Linked DNA regions of Lonchura striata. The protein of the gene in region 1 purifies or fractionates together with the protein of each later gene. This does not show direct contact. Links are inferred from orthologs where the notes say so. Each region holds a gene or a part of one and is shown on either strand. Other genes may lie near its edges.

The links.
Region 2: the proteins of GAN (region 1) and NUDCD3 purify together in Homo sapiens (co-immunoprecipitation; 3 studies listed by BioGRID and IntAct, counting the BioPlex papers as one, with this or other methods). This does not show direct contact. The link is inferred for Lonchura striata from reciprocal best matches to the Homo sapiens genes GAN and NUDCD3.

The regions. Positions count from the first base shown.
Region 1 is NC_134615.1:19,106,487-19,122,690, forward strand, and holds the start of GAN (gigaxonin), read left to right. Parts: upstream 1-8,298; 5' UTR 8,299-8,390; coding exon 8,391-8,557; intron 8,558-11,221; exon of another isoform or gene 11,222-11,231; intron 11,232-16,204. Other genes in the region: BCO1 (beta,beta-carotene 15,15'-dioxygenase), read left to right, coding at 523-625, 1,219-1,313, 2,969-3,080, 3,261-3,433. UniProt on the Homo sapiens protein: Probable cytoskeletal component that directly or indirectly plays an important role in neurofilament architecture.
Region 2 is NC_134634.1:5,379,845-5,396,369, reverse strand, and holds the start of NUDCD3 (nudC domain-containing protein 3), read left to right. Parts: upstream 1-8,532; 5' UTR 8,533-8,608; coding exon 8,609-8,800; intron 8,801-10,224; coding exon 10,225-10,517; intron 10,518-16,525.

The DNA.
Region 1 (16,204 bases):
TCCTAGAACATTGCTGCTCTGTTCTTTTCTCAGAAACAGCTCTGCAGCAGTGACAAAGGATGTTTTGGGTCACACCAGCTGTTCAGCTGTTCTGCAATCTTAAGAATTAAGTAGTAGAACATTTAGAGTATATCACACCTATTTTTGCACTTGATTTTTAGCAGGTGCAAAAATCTAACCTTGGTGACTCTCAGTGAAAATTTGACACCTTATTCCTTGAAACTCATCTTCATTCGTTTAATTCTCAAATTTATGGTACTTCTGGACCATAGCCATGTGTATCTAAACATTTATAAGGACTCAGTTTGATTCAAAATAACTATATTATGTTACATTAAAATACTCTGAGTGCAACAAGATTTCTAATGAAAACCTCAGAATCTAAAATGCCATAAGAAGGATCTTCTTGAAGCTTATTTGTTTAATCTGCAAATTGTTAATATCAATATGAAACCTGATGAAAAATCAAACTTAGAAGCACATTTTTAGAGATCCATGACATTTCCAGCATTTTTCTTTCAGGATGCTCTAGTGGACTCTAATTTAGTCACACTTCCCTCTACTGCAACTGCTGTAAAGGAGAAAGATGGAAGCATCTATTGCCAACCTGAAATACTATGTGAAGGTCAGATAGATCCTTTAAATATCTGATGCTACACCAGTTTTGTATTAGTACAGGATTCCAAGTCTGATATTACTATGGCTTGCAAATCTACTTGCTAAAAGTGTAATTTGAATTAAATAAGTCTGTTATGAGTAGTACTTCAAGTTTAGCTGCATTTTATAAAGATTGCCTTTGAAAGAGTATTTTTAACCTTTGATCAGGGCATAATAACAGGAATATGCAAATACAAAATTACCTGAGGTAAAAGTAATTTCTTAGAATAGTAGCCTCCAATTCTATCCCAGTTATTCACATCATGTATTTATAAAGAAAGAAAAAAACCCAAACCAGAAAAACCCTCATAAATTCCAGTGTAATGAATCCCTAAGAATAAAAAATTGTTGCCTTTTAAACTAACAGCCTGGCTTACTTGTGTTAGTAACCATCTTCAGATTCTTACAAATTCAGACATTCCAAGTCTATACAACACTTTTATTAAGTAATTCCAAGTTTTTTTACAGGCAAAATGTCCTGAAGATTGGTGTGTCCATATAGATGTTAATTTGGGGTTTTCTCTTGTCTTGTTCCTAAGTCTTGAATTTTATTTTACACAGGGATAGAACTGCCTCGCATCAACTATGACTACAATGGCAAAAAATACAAGTATATCTTTGCAACACAAGTCCAGTGGAGTCCAGTTCCTACAGAGGTATGCTTAACATTTATAAAGTCAGTGTTTTCCCATTGCTGGGCCATTCACATGCAAAGGAACATGAAATGCCTAATTTATCATAAGAATAAGTTCATGTTGTACCATTTTCCTCATAAAGTTTTCATAAACTCAGGCTTCTTACTCCAGCTTTATGTTCCATGAAAGTCTCTTGAATAGCTACGAAGACCCTTACTTTTCTGCTAAATTGGGCTGAACCTTCTGTGATGTGCCAGGAACTACAAAGGAGAGAGTAGGAAAAATAAGTATTATTTACATGTATATATTTAGTATTTTTTCCCTTTAGGAAGCCTAGCAGAAAAATAAGATATTGTAATACTACCTAATAAATTTTAACTATTAAAGCAATATCTATTTTGGGGAAACTTTATATTTTGTTGGCTAGTTCTCTCTTAGAGGTAGTAAATGCTTTGTTTACATGTGCATGATGCCAGAAGACAGCCTGAAATACAAACAGATTAACAGGGAAAGTATTTAATTAAGATTTAAATATTAAATAAAATTAAGGTAATTTAAAGATTTAAATGTATGAGTATTATATGAGCAAGCTCATGCTCTACAATTCTTGTTCTGTGACTACAAGGCAGCACAAATTGCAGTCACTGTTGGTTCTTGCATATAATTACCACAACTGATTACAAAATAGAGCTGGATTTCTGCATGATGCAAGAAAATTTATTGCAGCACATCTGACAAAAACAAATCTGCAAGCTCATTTGCAGTGTAGATAATCTCTGCTTGACTCAAATATAATAAAAAATAATGGTAGGAGGATCTTTTTTCACATCAGTTGCAGTTTAATGAATGCAAGCCCAACAACCTAATCCTTAGGTAAAGTCTGTCAGTGAAAGTGCTGTCATCTTGGCTAGAGGAAAGAATTCTTTCTAATTCTTCCTCCAATCATTTGAATAGTTTCACTTTTGTGTAAACGTATTTTTTGGCTAAAGATCAAAATGGAAAAGAATAGAACTGCATCTCTATGGGTAGAGAAAAGGCCTTAATGGAATTGAACTGCAAATGCCAGGCATCCCCTCTGGCCATTGGTTTGGCCACTCAGTGGGATGAAAATCCACACTCTGTTCCTTCAGTGAACACCAGTGTCTGCCTCACTGCTTTGATATTTACACCTCACTAGGAACAGCCTTTCTTCTGCCATATGTACCCTACTGCACAATAGAAGGCCTTGAGGAATATGGAAGTAGCAATAAAAAGAGAATAATTCACAGGATTAGAAAATGGCAAGTTTAAATCCTGTTTCCTGCTCTACTACATAATCTCAGTGATTTGGAACAAGTCACTTAAATACTCAGTGTCTTGGACTCTCTGCAATGAGGGCCATTACTTATAGTGAAGGGTCTTTTGTGGCCTGTTAGCATTTATGAACTATTAAACACCTGTAAATGAAAGGTGCAATTGTAATCTAATGAAATGAAATTAAAAGAACATTGTGTGATTATGCAGCCATAAAATGTGACTCCAAAATTTAACATTTTCATTGTGTTTTTTCTTGTGATGATACCTGCCTTAACTCTTAGCATTGGTCCTCCCTGTCAGCAGTCTGTTCTTGTTGTACCTTTGGGAAAAGCCACTGTCAGGGTCACTGACATTTTTTGTTTCTTGTTACAACCATGTAGATTGCAAAATTTAATACCCAGACAAAGGAAATGGTCCAGTGGAGAGAGGATGACTGCTGGCCATCCGAGCCTGTTTTTGTTCCCAACCCCGATGGAAAAGAAGAGGACGATGGTAAAATAATGACAACCAACATTCTGAAAGCTGGGGTTACATGAGTTTTGTATTAAATCTTACAAGTTTCAAGATTCTTAGTCAAGAAGATTGGGTTGATGCTTCCTCTTTGATATGAGGTTATCTTTTCTGCTTAGTGAAATTTTTCTATGTTTCTAATTATTCATTTGTATGTCACAGGTGTTGTTCTGACCTGTGTTGTGAAGTCTGATCCAAAGGATCCACCCTTCCTACTTATCTTGGATGCTAAAACTTTCTCAGAGCTGGGTCGAGCCATAGTAAATGTGGACATGCATATGGACCTGCATGGAATATTTATACCACAGCAAGACATGAAAACTGAGACTGAGTAAAATCTATTTGTTGCATTGCACTTCTGAATGTGGGATAATGTCCTTCAGGAACAGCCTTCTCTTATGATAAGAAATTACTAATTATAACCTCCTCAATATCTACATATGGTCTCTTAAAAGAGACAAAAATTACTTTATTACAAATCATTGTGTGCACAACTGGTATATCACTATTCCAAAAGAAGAATTATCAATATGAAGTGCTAATGTTGAATACAGCTTGTGGAGCAAGGGCAATAAATGTTTTATTTGAGTAGAACAAAGCTTTCTGAGCAAAAGAAGTACTGTATTCATAGGGTGACACAGGGCATGAGTTACACATGTCTGCAGGTCATGTAACTTCCATGGGCTGTTGAAAGACTGCAGCTGACAATGAAAGTTGTCTCCTGCCAGAAAACCTCATGTTAAACTGGTAAAACCTTGGTATCATGGTGACCATGATACCAATAATTCATGGCAATATATTCTCTTGGTGCTTGATTTCTTAAACTCTGCCATAACCAAAGTATTATGCTGAGGTGCTATATTTTTCTTATCCAGAACCTAACCCTTCCCCCAGCTTTTCTAATAGTTTCATGGTGTATTTTTCACTTTTACGTTGACAAAACCAAGTAACTTTATTGAAAAAGAGTACATGGTTATATGCAGCATTCAATCATACTTTAGTGACATTCAACCTTAAGCAGTTTGTATTTAAATCAGTTTTCCTTGGGCAGAATATCTGCCATTGCATTTCATGTAATTAGATTATTATACTGTGTAAAAGAGAAGAATTGTAGTATTTGCTACTGCCACTAGTCTCTGTTAATAGCAGTATGTATGTGAATGTGAGCAGTGTATTTCTAGCAGAACTCAGACACACATGCACAACAAACAGTTTAGGAAAGAGTGAAAGATCTAATTTAGGCCTCATCTGAACCCCACAGTAGCAGAAACTAGAAGCTGTTATTGCCATTACTAAGCATTTGCTTTATGTCTGCTTAGGAGTATCCATGTTCTCACATGTGTTGATTCTTGCCTGTACCAGATGCTTCCTAATAAAATTGCACAACTTTCACTTACAGCTACAATTAAAATGAACATTTCAACATAAAGTTCAAGTGCCAAGCACAGTGTGATGGGTTCTGTTACAGAAATGGCATTTTTTACCCCCTGATTATATTCCTGATACTGACTTTTCTTTAAGTGCGAGCTTTTTTTGCTTTGAATTTTGTTTTCTCATTGTAGATATCTTTGCTGTTGGAGCATCTTTACTGATGGAGAAAACCAGGTGTATATCCATCCATTTTGGGTGTCCATCTGGTCTGTCTGTATCACCACACAGCTCAGGTACCTCTTTGGCACACATATACCCTCAGTGCCTCAGCTGCTCACAGTATTTCATAGGAAGGAAACAGAATGAAATTATTTTCATTTACTACCTCCCTACCACATGAGAATCTGTGCTTGGTGACCTGTTTGGGATTACCTAAGGTGTTTGTAGCAGAGCAGGAACTGAACCAACATCATCCACAGTTCCTGACTACTCTGTAACAACCAGATCTCTGTTGCTCTGCTTAAGTCTTTGCACTTTGTTAGGATAAAGATATGCAGACTATTTTTAATGCCAAAAAAAAAATCTAACACTGTGGTCAGATCTAGTTAAAATATGCAGGTTTGAGTGTTCAAATGCTTACACATTCCTTAAAATGGAAATAAATATTTCAATAAGGTGTGTCTGCAGAAATAGTCATTTTTAGTGTTTTCAAAGGCTATTACCATTAGTATTTAATAGAAATTTATCTTCTAAAGAAGAAATTTAATTCAATTTTTGTAAATAATATGGAACAAGTACTGGAAGAGAAGATTGACTCATGATATTGGCAAAAGACATCAGCTCTGGCATTGTTTCTTTTCATATGAAAAAGTTTGGATTTAACAAAGGTCACAAATACATTTCTAGAATTACAAGGTGGCAATGCATCAAAAGTCTAACCATTGTTACAGATTTTCTTCTAAGAGTTTGTCTCTAGAATTTCTTCTGTAGTACTCACAGGGTTGTTTTGGGATAATCATAGGTTTGGATAGGAGTTAGTTCACTTATGAGGGGATAATTTTTACTGGTAGAGATGACAGGATAGGAGATATACTCATCATAAAAACAACCTGTAGTCTCAAAAAGCAAATGTGTTATTTACAATCATGTAGAAATAATGCAGAAAATAAATTATAAGAACTTATCTTGGATGTGATTTTTAAATGAGATGTACCCTATTCCCTTGGTCAGTACTTCACAAGATTTGATTAAGTTTGTAGTTAATCTGAGGAGAAAAACAGATGCAAATCTGCATTTGCTAATCCCAGTATCCTCCTGCAGCAGAGACAATAGGAATAAAACCCTACAGCTAATCACAAATTTGTTCAAGGATGTTTTTAGTGGTTGCAATACCAATCTGATGAAACATTTACCCTGAATATGGTAACACACTATCATTTCCAGGCTGACAGAAGCAAGGGGAAATGCTGATATGCTTTACCAAGTGGCTGCAAGGCTCATAGGGGTTTTTTTTGATGTGGTAGCATGGCACGTGGTAATGAGTGTCATTTGGTTTGCTTCTGACACCCTTCACTGTGAATGAATCTAAAGGGTCAGAAAGGTCTGATGCTTCTTTTGCACTAATTTAAGTCATAAATTAGCCCAACAAAATTCATAGAATTTTTATAATAATGGCATAACACAAATCTAGATGAAGTGACTGCAAATAAAAAATAATAAAGACAAGTGTCTCCATTAAAAGAAAAATACATAGTTGAGTGAGAGAATCAGACCACGGGTATGCATATATATAATTAATTACCTCAGAGATGCTACAGATGGACCTTGATAGAGTGGTTTGGTTTGTTGTTGTTTTGGTTTGGTGAGTTTTTTTTGTTGTTAATTCATTCATTAAATGGAACAAATAACAAGGTATAACAATGAATTTGTCCTCTGTAACTGTATATTATCTGTTACACCATGTCCCATTGCCCCATATGGGCAGCAGGAGGAAGCAGAAACAGTGTTTACCAGGACGCGTTAAAAACCAGAAATGCAACAATGTTTTCCTCTGTACCAATCTGTGCAGGTGGCAGGAGAACACACCGGTGTCTTTCTTTTCAAATAACCAGGCCACTCAATGACAGCTTTCGCAATAATTTAAACCACTGCTCCCTTGGGTCTGCAATTACCTGAGTATTAATGACAAGCAAAATACATCTTTCCCCTGCAGCTAAGGAGCAGTGTGCTCTCTGCCTTCATTACCCTCAAAGAGAGCTGAGAATGTGTCCTCTGGATCCTCAGCCTACACCTGACATCCTGGATAATTACACCCAAGCAACAAAAAAGTGGCCTTCTAATATTTGTGAGTATGTATGACAGCAAGTGTTGCAGAGCTGCTGGTGTTTTATGCACATTGCTGTGGGCTTAGGCTTTCTGTCCTACATCCTCTGCTCCTAAAACTCTTGTTCAGAGCTGCACAACAAAGCTGCAGCACGGTGGTCCCCCTGTGACCCCTCTCCAGTCAGGGAGCACTTCAGCAAGGGTTCAGCTCTGAAGCCTGGCTCCAACAGGGCTGAGCACACTCTTCATCAAGGCCCTGGGTGCAGGGTTTGGACTGCTGGGTGATGTGTGAGGATGTCCCGGCTGCAGTCTCCATCTGCACAACAAAGCAGCATTGTGTCCAGCTTGGAAAGAACAAGGCATTCATTTCCTATGGGGTCGTTTCCAGGTACCCAGCTTCATTTTCCGAGTGGTAAAATTTGGAGACACCATCAAACTGAATGAATGATAGAATTTTGTTACATTTCACTGAAATGCAAGTAATAAAAGTAATGTGACCCACCACAGCGTTACTAGATCAGACCCTCTGAAAGTGTTATTTTCCCAGTGAAGGAATGGGCAGCATGACATCCATCTGAATGTTCCAGAGGCTGGGAGATCCCAGTGCTGCTGTGCCTGTCAGCACAGGGAGCACAGGGAGCTGCTGTGCTGGTCCCTCCCAGCAGCACCAGCTGGATGTCTGTTTTAGAGCAGATCACAGTTTGTGAAACACTTTCACTCAGTGCAAATAGTTTCACCACTTTAATGTTGGATGTTGTTAAGAAAGCAGATGGAATCAAGTAGTCTCTTAACGTGCAATTAAGCATGATAATAAATGGCCTAAAATTTACCATGTGAACTGTCCTAAAGATCTTTTTTGCTGGAAAAGGCCACATTTCCAGTGGGAAGTTGTGGAAAGGGACACTGCCACAATGAATCTTGCTGTATTTAATTCTCATTCTCTTACTTTTCCTTGTGTCTACACCTGTAACATTCACCCCAGCTCATATAAGGAAACAAACGAATAAATAAAAGGCCAGTTTTACAGGATCAAAGAATCAATTAGACTGGAAAAGACCTCTGGGATGATCGAGTCCAACCTATGACCAAACACCACCGTGTCACCCAGACCGGGGAGTGCCACTTCCAGTATTTCCTTAGACATCTCCACGGACAGTGGTTTTATCACATCCCTGGGCAGTCCGCTCCGATGTCTGATCACCTTTTCTGGGAAGAAATTTCTCCTAATGTCCAAAATAATCCTCCCCTGGTGCAGCTTAGGGCTATTTCCTCTTGTCCTGCCGCTCGTTGCTGGACGAGAGCCTGACCCCCCCGCGGCTCCAGGATGAGAGCGAGCAGGTCCCCCGGAGCCTTCTCCAGGCTGACCCCCCGGGCTCCCTCCAGCCCCTTCCCCAGCTCCGCTCCCTCCTCCGGACCTCCTTCAGCGCCACTGCAGAGCCGTGCGGAGAGCAAGCCGAGATTTCCGGGCCGCCCCCGCGGGGCGGCGCGGGGAGATGATGCCGGGAGATGATGTCAGCGGCGGGCGGGCGCCCAGCCATGGTGTGAGGGCAGGGACTGAGCCGGCCCGGCCCGGCCCGGCTCGGCGGCGGCGGCAGCACCATGTCGGGCCCGAGCGCCGTGTCGGACCCGCAGCACCCGGCGCGGCTGCTGCGGGCGCTCAGCTCGTTCCGGGAGGAGACGCGGTTCTGCGACGCGCACCTGGTGCTGGAGGGCGAGGAGATCCCGGTGCAGAAGAACATCCTGGCGGCCGCCAGCCCCTACATCAGGTACGGCCGGGCCCGCGGGCCCCGGGCGGCCGCTCGGCGGGGCCGGGCTTATGTAAGGAGCGAGATCGCCGCGTGTGGGCACGGACGGAGCAGCCGGGGCAGGCCGGCGGGGGCCGCGGACCCCGAGCGCAGGGAGGGCGCGGAGTTCCCTCTGCGGGTGTTCAAACCCCGGACACGCGTTCCTGTCACCTGCTCCAGGTGGGAGCTCCTGCCCTGTGCCTGCCTTGGCAGAGGAGCTGCACTGGGGGATCTGAGCTCCCTTCCGACACCAGCTATCCTGCGCTTCTGTGGGAGCAGCTGCTGGGCCCCCTCCTTCCCTCCTTCCCTCCTTCCCTGCCTCCCTCCTTCCCTCCTTCCCTCCTTCCCTCCTTCCCTGCCTCCCTCCTTCCCTCCTTCCCTCCTTCCCTCCTTCCCTCCTTCCCTCCTTCCCTCCTTCTCTCCTTCCCTCCTTCTCTCCTTCCCTCCTTCCCTGCCTCCCTCCTTCCCTCCTTCTCTCCTTCCCTCCTTCCTTCCCTCCTTCCCTCCTTCCTTCCCTCCTTCCCTCCTTCCCTCCTTCCCTGCCTCCCTCCTTCCCTCCTTCCCTCCTTCCCTCCTTCCCTGCCTCCGGCCGGTGCCGCCGGGCCCCTCCGCAGGACCCGTCGTGTTCTCGGCATCACAGCGCTGCTTTTCCAGCTCTGAGAGGCTGTGTCATCCACCAGGGAAAAAAAAATCCCCCCAACAACTTCATTGCTGCCGGGAGCCCGCTGTGAACAAGTGACCCCTGCAGAGTGAACTGTGAGGATGGCGAGGGTGGTGTCCGGCCGAGGGGCAGCATCCCGGGGGCATTGTGAGGTGCTGGGCTCTGTGTGTCCCTCGGCCGCACCGAGTCAGCACTTCAGCATCATTTTTTTCCTCCTTAATGCCTTTTAGCAAGACAGGGCTCCAGGTGGTGATCATGAGGTCTGAAGTACGTTGGCTTCTAAATTGAAAAATAAAAATACAGGTTTGTCTCCCCATCGCGTGTGCCCCCGCAACATCTAAGAACATCGCTTGGAAATTGCCAGAGTGACAAAGCCTGGCCGTGCCAGGATCGCTGGCAGCTCTTGGCAGGGGTGTCACCAGCATGTGCAGTCAGAACTGTGCCACTGACAGCGAGTGCTGGGGAGGACGAGCTGCATTAGCACAGTCATGGTTTCTGAGGTGCCTGGCAAGCAGCTGTGCAGGGAAACCCAGGTCATGGAAAGTCCTGCTGACACCAGTCTGAACCCCATCACACTCAGTGCTGTCAAGTCCAGTGACAGCAGGTGAAAAGAACATACCTCCACGAGATCTCATGGTACATGTCTGCATGTCAGAGCAGGTAAACAAAACATACAAGTGCATAATTTCAAGGTGTTTTTAAGTCCACTCATTTGCAGGTAATAAGGCATTTCTTTTGTCCTCATATGTAAAGTAGAAGCAGACCTTCTGTACCATTTAAAATCGGGATTATCATCAATTGATTGCAGACTTCTTGTACTGTTTGGACACTTCTTCCAGCTGCTGCTTCCTGTGAAGTTGACATAAAGTTTGCATTTTTTTGCTAGGTGAGGATGGGAATTCTTTATGCTACAATCTGAAAAAATGCAACCTTGTGCAGTGTCATAGCGTCTGCTTTTAAACAAGACATTATTTTGGGTGACCATTGTAGTACAACTTTAACATTCTCAAGTACAAAATTAAACTAATAATAAATACAATATGAGGCTGGTGAATAACTTTTAAATAGCAATGGTCATGCACAGACTTAAGTAAACAGTTCTCTGCACCAAGCTAGCAGAACAGATATAAAATGCACATAGAAGGATCATCAAGAATTTGCAAAAAGGACATGGTGGAGCCTATGTACTACTAATAATTTTTTGTCACTGCTTGTCTTGAGAAGCAGGTTTGGAAGACTGTGGTGAAAGAAATCAAAGATGTGAAATAGAAATGAGCCATTGATTCATACTCTTCAAAATGCCTGAAAGCTTCTTAGGTCATTGGGCATCATATTTTAGATGACCATATGCCTGACATTAGGTTTCAGAAGAGTTGCTGCAGGTGGTAAGAGGTCATGTCCTTGGAAAAACTGCTGTTCTACTGCTACAGCAGGATGTGTTTACAGAAAATGTCAATTTTTTTACTGTGAAAAAAAAAATGCTTAACTAAAAGATACTGTAGATTGCCCTATGGAGCCTTTTCACAGAATTTCATCTCTAAGTTTTGCATTTTGTTAATCTTTGAAAAATGTACTGGGGAAACATGGGTTAATTGTCTGTGAGGAATAAGAGCTCCAGACACAACTACACTAGCAACAAAACCTGTAGTCATTAGAGCTGTGGTTTTTTTAAGCTCAGAATTGTTCAGGTTCAAATCTCATGAAGGAACTCATTAACTATGTGTGAAAGTAGGTTACATGCATTAATATATAAATATGATTAAATGTGAGGTTTGTTTTTTTTTTAAGCTTACTCATGTCTTCTCCTCAAGTTTTCAAGATGTAAAGAACTAAAAATACATGTACCTAGTTCTTGTATGGCACATTAGGAAACACATTTGTATTGCCTACCTTTGCAGAGCCTAATTTTTACTTGCTGCCTGTCTCTCTTCTTTTTATCACTCCAGGATCTCTCTCTTAGTCCAGCTGGTCTTCACATTGGGTAGAATTGGTCAGGTAGGTTGCCAATGTTGAAGCATTGTGTTTCCAGCCAAAGAACACAGTGGCTTTTTTTGAAGTTGAAATTAATCTCCACCTTGTACCTAGTCTGTGCAAATCAGTTGAGGCCTCTGTATAAACAGTTATTGTAGGAGACACAAGAATTTCCTGTCACTGTATTTTAAGGGTAGCTGATTCCAAAGCTCTGGTACCACAGGCTGTTACAGTCTCCAAATGCCAATTGATTCAGATTGCTCTCATTTGAAAAATTCCAATATAAAGCTCAGAAAAATCCATTAAGTAATTTCAGAAGTAAAACTTGGAATAAAAATAAGCATGTACGTGAAACTTGAAGTGAAGCAGTGGAAGTATGAGTTGATGTGGTGTTTTCAGTGTCTGGCTGTCTCATTATGTGCTGTGGCTGTGGGCAAGTTGGTGGGCGAGTTCAGAAACTGTAGGGTTTGCATGAATGCCTAGTTTAGGGTGTGAGTAGGAAAATAAGTAGGCATGGACTTTGTGAGGGGGTGGTTGGGTGTGAGCAGTCTGTGTGTGCTGAAGGATTTGTGCAGCCACAGAGAGAGGAGCGTTACCTGTTTTTTAGTTTTGCATGGGAGCTGTTTGGCTGACTGGTTATGAGTAGGACACTTGTAAATTATAGTGATGTGTTTTCCCACTAGTTATTTGGCAACTGGATTATCCATGCAGCTCAAATATAGCAGCTTCAGTGGAGAGAGAAAAAAAGGCATGAAGGGGCACAGAAACATATTGGAAGTCTTATTGGGGTCGTTGTTATATGTCCACCTGTCTGTCTGATCCATAGGGTGGCTTCTGAAAGTACAGAAAAATAAAAAAAGCCTGGTTTATTTTCAAATTTTCAGTCTGTGGGACCAGTAAGAATTTTAATTTTTGTGGTAGTTTGATTCTTGAGGTTTTGCCTCAACTGCTTAATGCCAAGTGGTCTGTAGCTCTCTCAGGCCAGTGAGGTCTGGAGTGGTTGTGTGAATTCCTACAGAATTCTTTTATATGTACAGGTTTATCTAATCCCTCTGTGTGCCCTTGGAGCAAATCCTGCCATTTACAAAGCACAGAAGTCTCCCTGCATATCTCTAACATCTTGTGGTATGTTCCTGAGCCTGAGAAAAGGAGGGCTCCTCAGGAAGAAACCACCACAGGACAAAGTGTGGTTTGGCTCGAGGTGATGCTGCTGTGCATCCCAGAGCAGTTATATTCAAGCCAGGTGAGCTCTTGATTTTCTCTTCTGTAACAAATCAGCCAGAAACCTGCCCTTTTTTTGGTAGCACTCTTTGTCCTTAGTGTAGATCCATTGCCCTGGTTTAATTTATTTAGTTTGAGAGCTTGATGTAAATTACATTGGTGTGAGAGGGCTTTTCCCTGAACAAACCATGCTTGCACTAGTAAGTTTGGCCTGAGTTGTGGCATAGATCCACCAACCTTTTATAGGATAGACTTGGTCCAAGCATTCCTGGTATCCTGAGCAGTAGCAGCAGATGTTCCCATCTGAACAGATCTGTCACTGGCTGGCATGAGTCGTTCCTGGCCAGCTGAAACTTGCACCTCTTTATATTTTGCTCATTTACTGTCTGCTTGCCTGGATCACAGGGAGCACGTGGGAACTACCTCAGCAAAGAGGCTATTTAAGCCCATATTCTTAGACAAATTTAATGTTGTTACACGCAGGGATTGTGCTGCTGCATTACAAATTGAATTAAGACATTTTTGTTATCTCAGCAAGTTTTGTCTTTGATTTTCACGCATCTGCATGAGCAGATTACAGATGGCCGTGTGTGTTCTATACTGTTCCCCAAGGCTTTTCAAACTCAGTAATGGACCAGTAATCATATTTAAATCTTTTTTCAGAGGAGCATAATATAACTAAACAAGAATGTAAATGTGAGGTTAAGTTCACATTATTTTTACGTACTTATAAATAGCTGTACTGCTTGTAAATGGGCTTTGGTCAGAAATAACTTGACAGCCTTTGCATCTTCTCACTTGTCCTGTTCAACCTTCTGACATCTCTAAAACACTGCAGACCTTGTAAGACCCTGCACAGCCACAGCCAATGCTGAAATAGATTTCCATGGAGATGTGGGGGACGTGCCCCCCATGACTGACCTCCTGCCCTTTCCTCTGTGTGCCTGCACTTGGAGCGTTTGCAGTTGTCACGAGGGGAGCCTGCTGAGACTCCATCCCTGTGTGAGCATGTCTGGGAGCATCCATGAGTGCTGGTGTGGGAGCTGGGACAGGATGTCCCCCCTGCACCCTGGAGGTGCCACTGGGTGATTCTTGTTACACCTGTTGGACAATGAATATTGTAGAACAAGGTCAAGTAGGAGCCAACACATGCCAGGAGCTTCTGCTGCTTATTTCCTGGTACCTGTTTGGTCTTCACTGACATTTATAGAGATCTTTTATAGTGTTTTAAAACTTTTCTTCAATTTGGGATAAATATTGAAGTCAGGAACACAAATGGCAGCTGGAGCTGGGAGCTGTTTGGTTGTCAGAACGCCCTGCTCCCAAGTTCTGCTTTAGCCAAATCATGCTGTAATTGTGCCAGGGCTTGTTCCCTCTTCACTGGGTGTGCAGGGCGGTGTTGTGGTAACTGCAGTGTCAAGGAGGGCTCTAAAGCCATTGTTGTCTTCAAGGTTTCTTTTGAGAAGTTTGTTTCTGGCAGTCTCCTGGGAGCTTTGGAGGCTGCCCTGGCAGTAGGAAGTCAGGAACAGATCAGGCCAGAATTTGCTTCCAGACTTTGTTTTTTAAATTTGGCATAGTTTTGTTTTGGTTTTGATTGAAAAAAAAAAATGAACTTGAAATGCTACCTATTATGTTTTAGTGGTAGCTGAGTTGTAAAGTCTCTGTAGCTTTGAGAGGCAATAAATCAAAATAGTTGCCTTGGCCAGAAACTCTGTGCCTGGCACAATTCAGAAGTGCCTACATGCATGTTATGTTTGGATAAGCAGTTGAGGGGCAACTGTGATAAAGGAATGTTAAAAGTTTATGGTTTGAAATGGGATTTAGAAGTCACTATACCAGGCTTGAATGGGGAATTGTTAATTATATTCCTGCTCCAACAAGCCCCTAGAGATCGCCTGAAGGAAAGAAGCCATAAGGCTCTTACCCAGCCCAAAATAGTAAAAAAATACATTTGTGCTGCTGCTACATGTCAGGCAGAGGGAGAACTGGGAATCAGAGCATCTTGTTTACCCAGGAGAACTAGAGATGAAATTTCTTGTCCTTTCTTTGTATCTGGAGACGCGCAGCTCATCTGCGTGCCTGACGTAAGAGGCGAGCTGGGATGGAAGGTGTGGCAGGATGGGGCTGCTTGGGATGTCTGGGTAATTTATACTCTGTAGGTTGCCTTTACACTTGCCTTAATTGCCTTGTTTGGCAAAACTTTTATGATTAAAAGAGCCTTTTTTATTTTTTTTTTTCCCCTTGATTTGTGACTGGAACAGGGCTGATGTGTCTGGAGCTGATGAGTCAGAAATGCTTCACTCGTGTTTTGGTTTTTTTGGTGATGTTCTTTTTTAATTCTTTGAACCTGTTTTGTTTCTGTTGATCTGCAGTTACTAAAGGACCTTTTTCCTGGTGTGGACTGGCAAATATGAGCAATAATTAATGGTTTGAAAAGATTTGTTTCCTCACTCTCTTCAGACTCTTATTCTGAATATTGTACAGAAATTTCTTTCTGTGCTGGTACTGAGTACCAATATAGTGCTACCCTTTGCCTCTTCATATTTCCCATGGCTTAATATGTCCAAAAAACCAAAATAAATCACTGCTTATGCACAGCTCTGAAAGTCCTTGGCCCTATCAAGGAAGTATGTCCTTAATCCCATGAGGTTGGTGGCTGGTTTATGTCTTCAGGCATGTTGGTTTACATCCCCTGGATGATGTGGGCTGCCTGCTGCAGCTCTTGTTTATGGACATGGGGAGTGCTCTGTGTTGGAGGCTTCTGTGCTGATGAAATCCATGTTCCTGCTTTCTTCTTCCTCTTGGCTGTGGCACTGCTTTCTGTGAAAATCTTGCAGATCTGTGTTTTCCAGCTCCGGGCATATCCAGAATTCTGCTGCTTATCTCAGTTGGATTCCAAACTTCTTTCAGCTGTTCCACAACACTAATCATGCACTTAAAATTTTGTCCATTTGACTTCATACTTACCATCAATTATGAAAATCTTTCTCCAGCTCTGTTGCTTATTCCTCCCACGTGCTGTAAGGATAAATGAGGTATAAAAACCTGTTTAATCCAAGTTTTCCCAGCAGATCTATTGGTGTTCGTTATATAATAATATTTACAGGAATATAATTGAATAAAATTAAATAAAATAATATAATTATAATACAGGAATATTTGGGTTATTAGACACATGCTACAGAGCATTATGTTTCTTAAATATATTTAACAGAAAATTTAGCAGCATGGGTACTGTATAACACTGTACTTGTTTCTTCTAAAAATGCATTTTTAACAAGTTTAAAAGTAGAGTTAATCTGAAAGAAGACATATTTCAAGTAAGACAGTTTTCATTTCTTGGCTTAAAACTCTCTTTCAAAAATATCTTTCCTTGGTTTTTTTTGGAACTAGGAAGTCCTGGTTCCAAACTGCTACCTAAAAAGTGTGACACTGCTGGGAATCATCAGTTCAGTGAGTGGACTCGAGTGTCAAGTGGAGCAGAAGAAAACCAAACCCAAACCACCTTTCTAAACCCAGCAGGTGTTTCTGTCACAGATGAACAGCAACTGCTGAACCAGCTGAGCCTGAGCTGTGCTTTGTGCCATGCACAGGGTGCAGAACCACAGGTGCCCAGCAGCAGACCTGCACTGCTTGTGTTTGACTTGTTTTCAAGCTCAGCTGTTGCTGTTGCCTGTTTGATTTCTGTGTTGGCTAAAGAAACCCAAAGTGAAATGAAACATCAGGTCCTTGGTGCTGCTGAGAACTGCCAGGGTCTGTCCTTGGGCACGGTTTGT
Region 2 (16,525 bases), on another chromosome or scaffold:
CCCCGCCGCCGCCGGTGCCGGTCCCCGCCGCCCGGACTGCCGCGGCCGCAGCGCCCGGCGCCTTTAACACCGCCCTCCGCCCCACGTGACCGCGGCCCCCGGCCCCTCCGGCCCGGCTCCGCCCTCGCTGCCCATTGGCCCGCCCGCCGGGGCAGGGGGCGGGGCCGCGCCGCCATTGGGCAACGCCGAGCACGGAGCCGGGCCAGGCCCCGCCCCCGCGCGGGCAGCGCGCCGGAGAACCACGTGCGCGCCGGGGGAGGGACCGCACCGGGACGGCTCCGGGACGGCACCGGCACCGGCACCGCACCGGCACCGCACCGGGACGGCACCGGCACGGCTCCGGGACGGCACCGGCACCGCACCGGCACCGCACCGGGACGGCTCCGGGACGGCACCGGCACCGCACCGGGACGGCACCGGCACCGCACCGGCACCGCACCGGCACGGCTCCGGGACGGCACCGGCACCGCACCGGCACCGCACCGGGACGGCTCCGGGACGGCACCGGCACCGCACCGGGACGGCACCGCACCGGCACCGCACCGCACCGCACCGGCACGGCTCCGGCACGAGAATGGCATGGCCTGGCACCGGCACGGCATGGCCCAATGTGGGCTCTGCTCTAGTGTGGCACGGGCACAGCCCAGCACGTGTGAGGGCTCAGGCTGGGCTCCAGCACAGCCTGACACAGTTTGGCATGGATGTGGGGATCCGTGTGGGTCTGGCCCACATGTGGAACAGTTCTGCTCAGCTCCAGCATGACCAGCCTCTGCCAGGCACAGCAACAGTGCTGCACCAGCTCAGGCGGGCACTGAGCTGCTGAGCGCTGGGCTGGCACTCCAGTGTGCCTCAGTCCCATGCCAGTTTGAACTGGCAGCAGGCATGGGCCTTGTGCCTGCACTGATTGGGACCAGCACCAACCCAGGGGCTCCCACCGGCCTCAGCAACCACACGTAGGGACTGAAACCAGCAGCCACCAGCATCCAGCTGAGTGGTGGCAGGTCAGGGGATCCTGCAAGATCCCAGGAGGTTCCCGGGAGGTACTGCAGGGTCCCCCCAGCACGTCCAGCCTGGGTGACACAGGCAGGGGTGAGCCCCTCCAGTGTGCAGCCATCTGTGCACGCGTGTGCACATCACACGCGAGGGGCATGCGTGTGCCCTGAACAGGGGGAGCGCCGGTGCCCGTTCCCATCTCGGGGTGATCATTGCCCAGCAGGAACCACGGCTCAGTGGTCAGAGGCCACGGGCAGCCCCAGGGCAGGGGTTGGCCGGCACGGGAAGCTGGGGTGTCTGGCCAGGGGTTGTGCCGCCCCACGGGTCAGTGGCTGAGGGCTGGCCACGGCCGGGCCATCGCGTCACGGGGACGCTAGTGACAAGGGCTTGCAGATGGCACCGGGTACGGGGGGAAGTGGCCAGGGTGCCCCAGCCCTGCTGCATGGCTGCCCCTGCGTCACCCGGCCAGAGTCCGTCCTGTGTCCCCATGGGCCCTGTGTCCCAGGCCACGTGCAGCACTGGGTGCACAGAGCCACAGCACAGCCCGGGCTGGGCCTGGGGGCTAAGGAGGGACGTGTACCTGGAGCCTGGGGACCCCTTGCCACTCTCAGCTCGCCAAAGCATTAGCAGGGGATGACCCCATGCCTTTCCCCTGTCCCCACTCCGCATTCCTGTAACCACTGGGTGTCCCAGTCTGCCCTAGGTGTGTGAAGTGAGGAAGAAACTGGCAGGAGTCTGGATGAAGCTGCTAGGATCCATGTTCTGGGCCCCCAGATCCCATAACCCTGTATCCCAAAGCTGAGAAGGGATCCAGGTGTGTCTACACCCCTGCAGGGGTGGGGGCAGGTCTGGGGAGCAGTGCTGGGCATAGAGGGTGAAGGAACGGGTACGTGGGGTGCAGCGCTGAGTGTGTGGGATGCACCAGACATGGGGCACGGCACAAAGTGTGCAGGTGTGTGGCCAAGTGTGGAAGGGTATGGCAGTGAGCCTTGCAGAGGGTACAGAGCCTTGCACATGGGGAGCAGCATTGATCACAGAGCTGAATGGATGGGGCGCAGGGCCACGGATATCCTGGGAAGGAGCAGGCCCTTCGAGATGCCCCCAGGACACTGCAGGATCCCAGCACTGGGAGGGGATCCTTAGACCTTTGTCAGCTTCACTGCTACAGTGATCCCCACCCCTGAGCAGTGGGACTGTGACACTGGAGGCACTTAAAGCAGTGAGGCAGCATCTGGGAGCTGCTGGGAAACGCCCCGGGAAACACTCCAGCCTGTAGCCGTCTCACCTACAAACTACATCCCCCCGCCCCAGTAACACCAGTAAGTCTGTAACTCCTGCACTGGGTGCCTTTGATGGATGCTGAGTGTGTCCTGAAGTCCACCTGCTTGGCATCACCACTCCCAGTCCTGGTGCTGGCTTTGACCTGCAGGTCCCTGCACGTGCCCTGGTGTTCAGCAGCATCACTGGGCATCCCAACACTCATTGGCACACTCTGGACCTCTTAAGTGTCACCAGCACTCCGAAACCCCCAGCACCGAAGCTGTTGGTGTCTCTGCCTACCTGGGCTCCACTCCTGACTGATCCTCTTATTTCATGTTGTCCTACTCGGTTGTTAATTGGTAATAAATTAAAATTAATTTTCCTGAGTCAAGTGTTTTGCCCATGACTTAACTATTGAGTGATCTCTCTCTTCTAACCTCACCCTAAAAGTTGTTTCACTGCTCTCACCCCTGCCACACGTGCCTACATGGCCCCTCTCTGTGTCACCAACTGGGCACCGTAAGTGTGGTCATGTTCCATGAGAACTTACACGATGCAGATTCATGAATAGTTTGGTTTGTTGGAGCAACAGAAAAGCAGGTTCAGAATAAATGCACGAAGCACTGAGTGTTAATATGTCATGACAAAAGGTATAGAACAGAATAAAGCATTCCGGGGTCTGTGTGTTGCTGGAGGCTGGGAAGCACCCAGAAGCACTCTGGACAGCAGCCAGACACAAGGGTCCTGTGGCAGAGCTCCACAGGGACACCTGCACAGGCAGCCCACCTTTTCCTGGTGTTCCAGTAAGCTGGGATGGAAAAAGCCCTGTCAAGGTCAGCCCCAGCTCACTCATCCAGCTCCTTTCCTTGCCATGCATTTCCCCAGGAGATCCTGCCCAAGCATATGAAACAATCTCACCTGCATGGGAGACCTCTTCCACTCACTGTGTGCTGGTGGATCACTGGCAAAGGTATTAGTGAAAACAAACCTGAATCACATTGTGGGTAAGGTTGAAAGCGACAACAGTGGGATCATCTGGTCCCACCTCCCTCCTCAAGCAAGGTCATCTGCAGCACATTGCACAGAATTGTGTCCAGACAGTCCTGGAATATCACAAGTGGGTGAGATCCACAACCTGGGCAACCTGTTCCAGTGCGTGGTCACCTGCATAGAGAGGTTCTTTCTCATGTTCAGGTGGAATTAATGTGAATTTGCAAAAACACAACAAAAGGTCATGTCCAGGGTCACTGTATTGCTTACAGCATGGATAATACATGTAGTGAAAATCAAATTAGAATCAATTTGAATCAGTAGCATCATGGGGCTCCCCGCACCCCCCTCAGTACCCAGGGGACCCCTAGGCCCTGCAGTGGGCACCCATGTGAGTTTGCTTCCAGTACAACACAATTGATTTTGCTGCTGGTCTTTATTTAAAAATACAAATATTCTCCAAATATTCTGCTGGGTTCTGGCTGGCTGGCTCAGGCACCTGCGAGGTGCCTGTGGACAGAGGAAGCTGCTAAAGTGTGGCAGGCTGGGTGTGAGGGTGTGGAGCAGTGCTGGGCACCCCGTGGGCCGTGGGCACCACTGGGGAGCTCTGGGCAGAGCACCGAGTGCCAGCTGACAGCACCACAGTGACTTACTGGGCACCCAGAGCTCCAAACACCTCATGCCACCCAATACTGCTTCGGCAGCTCCCCTCCGCCCCGCCAACTCACTTTCTCCTCTTCCTCCACACATGGAACACACAACACAGCACCATTCCCAGCAGCATTGAGCCAAGGACCGCCACGATGCCTTCAATGCAGAACTTCTGGAAAGAATTAGCATCCACAGCGTCTGTGTTTGCCCTGCCCAGCACCGTGTTTGGGTCTGCCCTGCTATCCGCAGCGGTCGGCTCTGCCCCGGTGCTCCCAGCACTGGCAGATCTCCTGCTGACAGCGCTGTTGAGGTTCAGGCTGTTCACACCTGGAGGACCAATTGTGCACGTTAGCATGTCCTGCACACATCTGGCAATCTCGCTGGAGGGCTGGCATTGCCAAGAAATGTTCTTTCTCACTTCACTAGCAGCTCTGAACAAGGGAATATCCTGTGGTAACATTTCCACGGCTTCAGTAGAAACCAAGGGAACTCCCAAAGGCCTTGCAAGTCCCCACTCTCTGGACCCTCTCTCTCCTCTCAGATTTGCTTACACTTTGGAGTAGCCTTAATCCAGTTCTTCCAGTGTCTGCCTTTGCTCCCTGCTCCTGGGGATTCTTCCCATGCGCCCACAATTTCTGTTGTGCTCTGGCCAGGGATGATCTGACTGGGCAAACACAGTCCCCCAGGACTCAGCTGGAGACACAACTGGCAGTACGGACTCTGGACCACCCTTGCAGCTCAGCATGACAGGGAGAGTCCCTCAGTGAGGGTCTGGTGTGTGTGGGGGGGGTGCTATGGTGTGCCCCTACATGCACCTGAAACCTCAGCTGCCCGATTGTGTTGGGCAGGGGTGACCTGTACCCACCTCCTAGTATCATCCTCAGCTTCCTCAGGATTTCATGTAGCAGTTTGGATGTCTCCACAGAAGATTGTCCCCTTTCATCTTGATACTCTGGACCTTGATGCAAAGAATAAAGTTGCATTTTGCCCCCAGCAAACCCTGGAAGCAGCCCTCAGGCCATGCAGTCGGTCAGGACTGACGAATGACTCCTAAAGTGCCAGGGGAGTTCCAGTGCAGAGTCCAGCCCAGAAGTTGGGAAAGCCCTGCCTGTGCCCACAGCTGCAACCAGACCACACAAGGAGCTCCTCTCATACCCTGGAGCACCATCGGTCCTGACAGAACAACAGAACAGGGAAGAGGCTCACGGAAGAACACAGCACACCCAGGCTTTGCTCCCTGTCCCTAGGGATCCTTCACATTTGTCCACAACTCCTCTTGCACTTGCCCATCTTTCCCTTTCAGGGCTCAGCAGGTGCTGCCCTGGATGGAGACTGATGCTGAAGGATACAGCTGTCCCCACGGACAGGACCCCGGGGGCTGGACAGAGAGCTTGGAGGGAGCACAACTGTCTGACCAGCCAGCCCTTGGAGTCAGGTGGACAAAACCCATTCCTGTGTCAAGGTGAGCCACCTGCAGCTCTCCCTCCCCAGCCCATCACCCACACCCCCAAGGGGATACAGTCAGGCCCTCTGGGGAGATACCTGAACTTCCCTCTCCCTTGCTGCCTTTTCTGCAGTACGGACAGCATTTGCCTGCCCCCAGTTTTCAGGACTTGTCTCCCACTTACAACCCGTGGCAGGACTGCTCCGTGCCTGGATAATTTTGAAAGCATTCCTATATCCTGGACGAGGGCCTTCCCCAGGGTTGGCCAGCACTGACAGGGATCAGGGAAAAGTAAACGCTCAGCATGGCTCAGGCACAGAGTTTGCAGGAGGATGATGTAGGGTGCCCCTCAGCCATGCCGATCTGAGAGTGCACCCCTCTGGAGCCTGGTTCTGAGGAGGGATCGCCCCTTGTTGTGTCAGGGCCTCCAGGGTCTCACAGCAAGGCCTGGCATGCAGGTGCTGGGGCAGGGACATTAAATCCAGAGTCACATTTCCCATAATTTGCTGAGGGCTGCCCAGGTGGCCTCATTTCCAAAAGAACTAAGTTCTGAAATCCCTGAGAAGGGAGTGTGAGAGCTGGTGAGCATCCTGTTGCATCCACAGAGTGTCTGAGCGTGTGTGCCTGGGACAGGAACAGCAAGAGCCTGCAGCCCAGAGGTGACAGTCACCGCAGAGCTGCTGCTGGCACTGGCAGCTTGGCACGGGGCAGAGCCTGCAGCCAGCCGGGGCTGAGCGGCCAAAGGACAGCGACGACCCACACACCTGAGTGAAAGGCCCCGGTGCTTTGCCCAGGGCCTGGCACCGCCTGACCGCCTTCCTGAAGCGCCTCCTCCTGCGCCGCCATACGCTCCAGAGCTTGGGAGAGAAAGAGTGCCAGGTGAATTGCCAGTCACAAAGAGTGCCAGGTGAATTGCCAGTCACAAAAAGTGCCAGGTGAATTGCAACTCAGAAAGAGTGCCAGGTGAATTGCCAGTCACAAAAAGTGCCAGGTGAATTGCCAGTCACAAAGAGTGCCAGGTGAATTCCGAGTCACAAACAGTGTCTGGTGAATTCCGAGTCACTGCTGCTCCTCAGATCTGTCAGAGCTGCGTGCTGGCCCTGGCCTGCCCACCTACCCATGGCCTGTGCTTGCCACGGAGCAGCCCCAGCGTGTCGGGCTGGCAGGGCCACCAGGAGCAGGGTGAGAGTCAGGGCCCAGCGTGCCTGCACCATGATGCAGCTGCTGCTGCTGCAGCCCGCAACGCCCGACCTGCACTGCGCATCTGCAGGGCTGGGCTCTGCAGCTCCACAGGCACTTTGTGACCTCATGGGGCCTTCTACCAGCAACGTTCTGCCATCTCCAGGGTGGGCACAAGTGTTCCCCAGCTGCTGGTGACCGGTCAAGCAGAGCTACCAGATTCAGCCCTTCCCCAGTGTGGAAACCCAGGGCACCGGGACGATTCCACCAGGAATGTTTCTCTGGCTGCTCTGGGGTGTCCTGACCCCCAGGGCAGCACTGACTTTGACCCTCACTCATGGAGAAAACTTCCAAAGCCTCAAGGTTAACCAGAAACCACAAAAGTGTGAAATAGATTGTAGAGAGTAGTGGAGTATGTCACACGGGTGAGAATCTTAGCTTTTAGGACTTTTAATATGTTATAGATGGGTTCAAGATGGAGGATATAGGGTGTTGTCTCGAGTTCATTTTACTTCCTTCCTCTTCCTTCATCTTCTTGGGTTTAGGTGGTATCTTGTAATTGGGTAGAAAAATCCACATTTTGAATTGGAAAATGTGGATCTTTAGGGCTCAGTTATTGGGTTGGAAAGGAAAATCATTTATGTGTCACTTCTTAATTGGGTAGCTTAGTTTTTGATTAGACTTAAAAGGCCTTGTAACAAGAGATCGTTGGCCATTTTTGTGCTGTTTTTTGTGCATGCAGAGTGTGGTGCAGACAGCGTGCTGAAGTTTTGATAAGATAACAGTAAACAGAAGCTGAAGAACCAAAAAAGTCCAATGCATCCCTCCTGACACAGAACTGCTCCAGGTGGGTCTCCCCTGCCAGGGGAGCCCAGGGAGTTGCCCAAGTTGGGGCTCACAAACTCACAGCCCAGCACACACAGGGTTCTCTGGAGAGCTGCTCTAGTAAACTCTGCAGAGACCACCTGGGACTTTACAGAGCAAATCCCAGTGCTCCTGGAAGTGCATGATGGCATCAGGCAGCTGCTGGTGTGGACCTGCCCTGAACTTGGACCAAACACTTCCTGGAGTTCCCCTGGAGGAGTCAAGTCAGGAGCTGGGGATTATCTCAAAGCCTTTGTGCCCCACATCATCCTCAACAAGGACTGTCAGCTGGCACATGGAGCTGTTCGCTTACTTTGCCCCTCATGGAGTAAGGAGCATCCTCAGGAAAGCAAATAGAACTTGTGGGCTGAGATAAAAAACATTTAATAATTGAAATACAGTAAAATAATAATAACAAATTTTAAAAAAGGAGGGAGAGAACACCCAAGAAAACAAGTGATGCACATTACAACTGCTCCCCAATGCCACAGCAGCCCCCAAACCCCTGTGAGCCCTTTGTTCCGGGTACTCCCTCACACTGGGCACAGGGCACGCCTTGGCCAGTTCAGCTGTGCCAGCCGTTCTTTAGGGCACCTCCTCCCTGGCACAGCACCGAGACACAGAAAATTCCTTGGCTCAGGGCAAGCAGCGCCGTGGGGCCACCTCTCCTGTCTCCTGCGGGATTTGCTGCCCATCCCACAGGCCCAGAGCACCACTGCAGGGCTGCCCTGGCCACCAGCACCCCCCGTGCCTGGCACAGGGCCGGGGGACATGGGCAGCGCCCGGCACGGCCCCGGGAGCGGCCCCGGGAGCGGCCCCGGGAGCGGCCCCGGGAGCGGCCCCGGCACGGCCCCGGGAGCGGCCCCGGGAGCGGCAGCGGCGGCGGGGCTCGGGCGCCTCCTGCAGGCCCCGAGCGGCACCTGCAGCCGCGCCCCCCGCGCGGGCAGAGCCGGGAACGGCGAGGGGAGGGGGAGCCGGAGGCACGGGGGACACGGAGAGCGCGGGCAGCGGGGCACCGGGGACATGGCGCCGCGGGGTTCGGGCGTCCGCTGCTGCTCGGGGCGGCGGGAGGTCCCAGCGGTGCCACCGGGGGACCGGGAGCGCCTCGGAACCCGCAGCGGGCGGGAGGGGCCTGCCGGGCGGGCGGAACAGAAGCGCGCCGGGCGGGTTCCGGGCGGACCGGAAGCGCGGCCGATCCCGTTGCCGTGACAGCGGGCCCGGGCCGCCATGGAGGCCGCGCTCACTGACATGTACGACCAGGCGCTGCTGGGCATCCTGCAGCACGTCGGCAACGTCGAGGAGTTCCTGCGCATCCTCTTCGGCTTCCTCTACCGCAAGACCGACTTCTACCGGCTGCTCCTGCGGCCCGGGGACCGCCTGGGCTTCCCGCCCGGCGCGGCGCAGGCCATGGCCCTGCAGGTACCAGCGGGGCGCGACGCGGCCGGGCCTTGCTGCCGCGGGCCGAGCGAACGGGCCGTGTCTTCCCGGCTGCGCGGTGCTCGTGTCGGGCCGGCGGCGGGGTTCGTGCGGGCAGGGCGGGGGTCGGCGTTGCCCGGAGGAGCGCAGAGCAAGGCAGGAGAGGTGCCTTGAAGCGGGGGAAAGCGTCGCCCTCGTAAGAAGACGGGAAGCCCCCGAGGCAGGCGAGGACTGCGAGACCCCGGTGGGAAGAGCCGGGTTCGACATCAGCTCGGACGTTGGCCCGAGCTTGGGTTCGTGTCTGGTGTACCCTGAAGAGTTTTTGGTATGGGCAGAGTGAAGGAGATGCAGCGTTCCTGCCGTGGGAAGGGGTTAGTGTGGCCTCCTGGCTGCAACCAGAGGTTCCCCGAGTGTGGGGACGGTGTGCAAGGGGCTCATTCCTCCTCATCCTTGCCCAGCTGCAGTCCGGGGGATGCACTTCTGAGCTACTGCTTTGCATGATCCACGCAGGGCTGGTGCTCACCTCTCCCACACCCTCCCCTCTGCTCAGTGCGTGGGGAGGAGAGCTGGAGTGAGTGGCACGAGTGTGTGTCCTGTTGTGATGGTGCTGGCAGGGCCATGTCCTTTGTCCTGCACCTCCTGGACCCAGAGGAAGACTCAAATCGAGCAGGTGTGCCAGTCCGCTGCTGGAAGTACTAAATCTGCCTCCAGAATGTTCCTGGGAAACGAAGGAGGGCATTTTAGAAGGTGTTTACAGTGCCAAAGGCTAGCACTGGGGTGGGAGACCTTGCAGGCCGTTCAGGAGGCAGCTGCAGGGTCTCAGTGGCCATCACCCCTTGCTGCAAGGGCCTCACGTCTGACCTCCAGCCTGCACTGGACAGGCATGGCTGGGAGCCAGGTGAGGGGTAGGGTTACATCTCCTGGATCACATCTGCTCCTGCACCTGTCTGCCTGGACACAGCCAGTGCCAGGTCAGCTGTCCTGCAGCTTCTCTTGGGGCAGCTCATCCTGCTTGCCTCTTGGAGACACTGTCTGAGACCAGGCATGCGAGTGGTCCCTGTGTGAGCCCTGGAATGTGGGGAAAGGGAGGCTTCATTGGAGCTCCCTCCCAGCCGAGGGCTGAATCTCACCACTCTGCTTCTCCCTGGAGTAACCAGCCCTCTTGCCAGGCTAGGGTGAGGTTGGCTCTGAGAATACAATCCTAGAAACAATTCCAAAATGCTGCCAGGAGTTTCTGAGGTGTGCTTGATGTAGCCATTGGAGTTTTCAAAGAGTCATCAGCTGTTTGTTTTGGTGACTGAAGCAGCTCGGGGTAGGTATGTGGTGCAGAGAGGAAAGAGCAGGTGCCCCAGGCGTGTGGTGCTGCTCATTCCCTTCTCTGGGCAGAGCTGGAGCGCTGCTCACTGGGTTTGCTCTTTCTCTCCCAGGCATTCCGAGTGTTTGAACGGATGGCCAGGCAGGATGATGAGAAGAGGCGCCGGGAGCTGGAGGCGAAGCTGAGGAAGAAGGAGGAGGAGGAGGAGGCAGCTGCAGCCGCTGAGAGGGTGAAGCTGTGTCCTGCAGCTCAGGAGATCGAGGTGGAGACAACGGAGCACATCCCAGCTCCAGAAGCTGGGGAAGCTGAAGGCACCCAGGAAGCAGCTGCAGCCCAGGGTGCTGCAGCCCCCAGCCCAGGGTCAGTGGAGCCTCCAGGGGCTGCTGCCCCAGCAGAGCTGCCCACGTAAGAGTCTCTTACTTTCTTCACACTCCTGGTGGGGGGAGGCAAAACTGTGGACAGGGCATCCTCTGTTCTCTGCACAGCTCTTTTTGGGTTTTGACCTTCCTCTGCAGGCACTCAGCCTTTCGGGAGGCTGTGAGGATTACCCTTGCAGGCTTCCAAGGCCAGAAGCACTGTGTAACTCCCCACAGGAGGGCAGTAGTTGTTGTCCTGTGGGTGGATCAGCGTTTCCCACTCTGGTCTGAGCAGAGGAGGTGGCATATCCTGTACATGGCCCTACAAAGCTGGGCTGGGCCATGCAGCTCATCCACAAACTGGTTATGGTGTGCATTTTTCCTTTTCTGGCACTTCTAAGGCTCACAAGGAAGTGCTGGCACCAGCCTGCAACCTTTTTGTGAGTGCTGGACTCCCTGGCGTGCTGGGAGACATCCCAGAAGCTGTATGGGAGTGTGCATGGATACCTGCAGTACCTGCAAGTTGGTGCTGGGAGTGTGCACAGATACCTGCGAGTTGGTCTGTGAGTATGCATGAATACCTGCGAGTTGGTCTGTGAGTGTGCATGAATACCTGCAGTACCTGCCAGCTGGTGCTGGCAGGCCTGGCCTGTGACAGGGGTTTGGAGCCCTCTCGAGGTCTCTGACCCAGCCCTTGGCTCAGAGCAGGGCCAGCTTTGAAGATGAAGCTGATTTTTCTCTTTAGCTAGGCGTGGTGGCTTTCCAGCAGTGCCAAGCAGGCTGCATTTGTGCAGAAATGTCATTGAGTCAAAGTCCTTCCACAGCTTCTGGGACACTTCTAGCCTGACTCTGCTGAGCAGCAAGATGCGAGCTGCGGAGGGTCAGCGTGGCCTCTCTGAGCCATGTACTTGAATGCAGGTCCTGTACAGGCTTCACTCGTCCTTCCCTGGCATCACCTTGACCCTGAGCCAAGTCAGAGCTGCCCAGCCCTTACTCAGGGCCCTCATGCCTCACTGAGGTTCAGACTCCCGTGTTTCTTTGCTGACCAAGCTGGGGGAGTGGTGCTGTGAGCTGGCTGTGCAGGCTCCATCTCCTCCCGTGCCCGGTGTGTTCTGTGCTCAGGCCCCGTGTGACGGCTGTGCCGACCCTCTCCGATCACCACAATGGTCCTGACCAGATGTGGGGCTTTGCTGCGCCTCATCCCTGCTGTCCCACTGGTGCTTGGTGAGGAGGGAAGCTGGAGCTGGTGATCCCTGTCCTCCCAGCCAGTTTTGGAGGTGTCATTGGGAAGAGCAAGCTGCCAGAAAGAAGTGGACCACTGAAAGAACCCCAAATCCTGTAAGGACTGGGATGGCTGATGCCCCTGAGGGGCAGAGAGAATTCAGAGCTCAGATTTTGGGGCATATTCTGTATGCCTCAGCATATGGGAGGTACAGTCTGAGAACCAAAATCTTGGGAGGAGCAAAATGATAAATGGCAGGAGCAGAGAGGTTTGGTTCTTTCCTCAGGAGATGGCTGGGCACTCAAACAGGCTCTGTGGTCGTGGCTTCAAGGCTGCCAGAGGTCAAGGAGCATTTGGACAATGCTCTCGAGCAAATGGTGGGATTGTTGAGGTTGCCCTGTGCAAGGCCAGGAGTTGGACTTGATGATGCTCGTGAGTGCCTTCCAGCTCAGAATATTCCGTGATTCCATTATTCTAGGACAACGGTGGAGTCAGGTTCTTGGCTGGAGGCCGTGTTGGAGAAGAGCCTGAGCTCTGGCTGTGCTGGGGAAGAGCCTTAGATTGGCCACCACTGGGGAGGGGGAAGGGGGACCGGCAAGGACTTACGTGTAACTGGTGTGCATCCCACGCGGTAAAGATAAGCCAGGAGCCAAAAATGAAATCATCTGCAATGCCTGTCTTGGAGCTCTCTTGGTAAAGGTGGGGCTGCCAGTCTGACCCCGATCCCTGGGCAAAATTAGCAAGTCAAAGAAAACCCCTGCTAGAGTGCACAGCAGGGGCCTGGGTCTGTCCAGCCCAGCTGTCTCCCAGTGGAGAAGAGAGGGAGAGATTGGAGGCCCATGAAGCCGTGAGCAGAGGGATCTGGGCTCGGCTGAGTGCCAGTTGCTCATATCCCCATGGAGGCCACGTTTGCTGTGGTTTGCCCCATGAAGTTTCACCTCAGGACTTTGGTTATGGGGCAGCAGCTGGTGTGAGGAGAGTTCAGCTGCCTGAAACAAATGTCAGCGCTGCGGGAAGGAAACTGGAGGGATCAGGAAGGAAGGTGGGGGGCTCGTGTGGGAGCAGGATCAGTCTGACAGCGAGTGTGGTGGAGCTGAGAGGAATGGTTTCCACTGTGTGTGGTGAGAACCTGATTAGAACTCAACCCTTGCATGTGCCACCCTCTGTGTCCTGGCACTGCTGGAGCTTGGCCCCTGTCAAACCTCAGACACTCAGATGCTGTTTTGCAGCCTGCAGCTGTGGCACTGAGCACCAAGCACTGCATGGCAGCTGTCCTCTGGGTGTTGCCGTGAATAGAAGGTGCCTTCTGCTGCATATAGCTGCCACTGCAACTTCTGCCCTCCCCAGTGGGCTCTTCTGCCTCTTCTCTTGCTGCTCCCACCGCCCCAAACTCACTGGTGGGGTGGAACAGCTGCAGCCGCCTTGGTGCCTGCCCAGTTTAAACACGTGGTGGGTGAGACCGGGTGCAGGAGGCTCCGTCCCAGCCGCATGAGTCTCGTGGTTTCCAGCCAGGGGAATGGGGTGGCTGCGGGCTGGAAGTGGGGCAGGTTTGGCCCGGGTTCGTCAAGGCGCTGCAGTTGGTTTCCGAGCCTGTGGGGGGCACTGGAGCCCCCAGGAAGGCAGCGGGGGCCGGGCGGGCACCCCCCGACAGACTATTAATAATTTAACCAACTGCTTAATTCTCCACAGCCCCTTCCTTCTGAGTAAAACCCGGAGCTACCAGCCTGAGTACGAGGGGCGCATGAGTAATGCACAACTCTGGCAGCAGGAATGCAGAAAAGAGCTTAAACAAAAATATTTTCCATCTCCCCTTCCTTCTCCCCGCCCCTCCAGCCGCTGGTGAAGAAAACCGCTGCCACTAAAATCTATATAAAAACTTGCTCATTCTGTCAACCTGACGGCTCTGGAAATGTAGGGCAGGTACCATCCCAGATCTGCCAGCTCCCATCAGAGCCTCGCGCTGCACCCGGATGCTGGGGTATTGGTTGGGAACATCTTACAAAGCACAGTGAGATGGTAGCAGCTTTTCGAGGGTTGATCCAGATGAATCAAGCCAGTTTTGCAGATGTGGAGGTTTTCAGGGCTCAATTTGGGGCTTGGCCAGGTCTCTCCAACTCCCTCACCTTCCCCACTTGTGAAAGGCAGGTGAATCAATTCCTCTTTGCTGCCCTGCATCTTGCTGTGCCAGATCTCCCAGCAGCAGCTGGTCTAAACACACCGAGGACGGAGGTGGCTTTGGAGTGACACTCATGCCAGGAGCTGTGCCAAGGGGGACAGAGGTCTCTGTGCCACAGAAGAAGCCAGGCTCCTCTTGCAGCTGCCCCAGTTGTTCCAGCTGTCCCTCCCCAGTGGTTGCAGCTATCTTGCTGTCCCTGCCTTGCCAGGAGGGTAGCAGGCCACAGCCCTCCTCACACTTCACCACGGGGCTGTTCTTCCTCGCGGTGCAGCTGCACAGTCCCAGCTCTGGCTCTTCCCCCATCTGCTCCCAGAAGCCATCCTTGCCTGAGCTCAGCTCCTAATTTTGAACACCTCTGCTGCCCAGCACCCTCCCCTTCCCCCAGCTTGGATTCCATCCTGCATATATTTGCCACACAGCATTTAAAATAGAGCCTGGCAGCCCACGTGTGGCACTGCGCAGCCCGGCCTGTGCTTGTGCTTTATGACTTTGGTTCCTGGCTTCCCTCTGCTCCTTGCTTTCTCCCAGTGTGAACTGGGGGGGAAGCTCTCATCCCCCTGTCCTGTGAGTCCCGTCTCTTACTCCATGCATGGGCAAGAGATAGTGCAGGAGGCTGGGAAAGGCAGTCCTGAAGCCTGTGCATGATGGTGAATGTCTCACCTTCATGTGTTTCTCCATCCAGCTCTTGTGTCTCTCCCAGGTGCTCCAGCCATGTGTGCTCAGCTCTGGTCTGTACCTTAGAGATCATCTAGGCAGGTGAGGTCTCTGAGAGGAGGATCTTTGGGTGTGGACGGCACAGCCAGGGCTGGAAGCAGGGCCACTGGGGCATGGAACAGCGTGCCAGGTGGACCCAGGAGGATGGGCAAGTGCCTCATGCCTGAGGAAGCCTTTGGCTGCTGCTGGGCAACATGCAGAGCAGAATGAAACCTGGGGTCTCTGTGGCCATTCACCTTCTGTGGTGGGGAGAGAAAAGAGGCAGCAAGAGGAGTGGGCTGAGGTGAGGAGGGGGCTCTTCATGGCTCCCCACTTTGTGGGGCCTTGAAGGAGACCCTTGAGGTGTTCTGGAGTCTGTGAGTGGGGAAGGGGCTCTGCTCACCCTGTGCACACAGTGCCGTTGTGCCAAGGAAGGGGGCAGACGGGCTGCTGCCGAGCAGCAGAGCCCTGGCCACGCTGCCTGCCCTGGTCACCTGGTCCAGGTGAGCCCTGCCAGCAGGCCGGTCTCCCTGGCATTGCTCTGCTGTCCCTGGGAGGGGGTGTTGGGGCTCAGCAGTGACCTACAAAAATCCGTGGTGTGCTCCCTGGCTTGGTGAGAAGCTGACTGGGATTGAACTAGAATGCATTAATCTGGTGAGATGACTCCTAACATTCCAACTTTCCTGAGACCCACCATTCCCGGAGCCCCCACGACCTGGAGTTAACCCTTTGTGAGATGCACTGGGAGCATCCCTGGGATGACACAGCAGTGCTCTGGGAAATTTCCATGAGGCGCCTGTGTGAATCTAACTCAACTTAGCAACGGCTTGGCTTTGCTGGAAGCCCAGATGGCATTTTGTTGTGAGGTGCCTGCAGGATGGGCTTCCTGGCATGGCTGAATCCTCCTTGAGGTGCCGGGGACAGGAATTTCACTGCTGGTCACCCTCTTGTTGGGGAGTAGAGCTATGAAGAGGAGCTGTTGCTGCACGCTGCTAACTTCAAGGTTGACTCAGAGACTACATTGTCCCAAGCTTTCTCCTCTCATGCCTTTTCCATTCGGAAGGGAGGGGAACCCTTAGGTGCTCAGCAGTTTTGTCTGGGACTGTCCAGACCAGAAGCCAGTTAAACTGGTTTCCTTCCCCACTGCCCCTACGGATTTTCCTGATGAGCTCACCTCAGAGTCCGTGCTGTTCTTCCAGCCTGACCTAGAAAGGAGATGATCTTGATCCATATTTAAGGAGAATCTGTCCTGGTTCCGATTCCTCTTATGCACGTGGGGCTGTGCACAGGGAATTCCTCCAGCACGGCCAAGGCCTGTCATGAGCAAGAGTCAGGCAGAGCTCAGAGAACGGCCTGACCTGATACAGCCAAGCTCCATCTGGCCACATATCCTGTCTCCATCAGCAGCAGATGCTGGGGGAAGAGGAAGAGAACAGAATGAGCGGTGCAGTGATGCTTTCTCTGTGCCTTCATCCTACCCTGATTAAATAGTGGCTCAGTGGTTTCTAAACACTTGGTCCTTCAGCCCTTTGTGGGGATTATTTTCCCTTTCTGAATTTCAGCCCTCCCATGCTGGGGGACTCTGCAACAGCATCCTGCAGCAGGTCCCATGCTGCACTGCCATGTGGGGCTGCTTTCTCCATGTGGGTGAAGAGGCATTGAGTAGGTCCCCAGTCCCCTTCTCTGCCCTCTGTGGGGTTCTTCTCTTATGTCCATTTTCTCCTTTCAGTCTGTTTCTGGGCTGAAGGGTCATCATTTCCATGCTTGTTTCTCACTTGAGCATCCCCTACATGATTGTCCAGTGTTCTGAGTGTTATCCCCATGTTTGTGTGTGGACCCACTGGTGTTCTCTGCCTCCTACCCTGTTTCTTTTCTCCTTGCCTGTCCTGCTTTTGCAGCGAGGCCAGGAAATCCTCTTCCAGCCACATGGTACCTCTCACAGTAAAGTGACGTCACTCCAACCCCT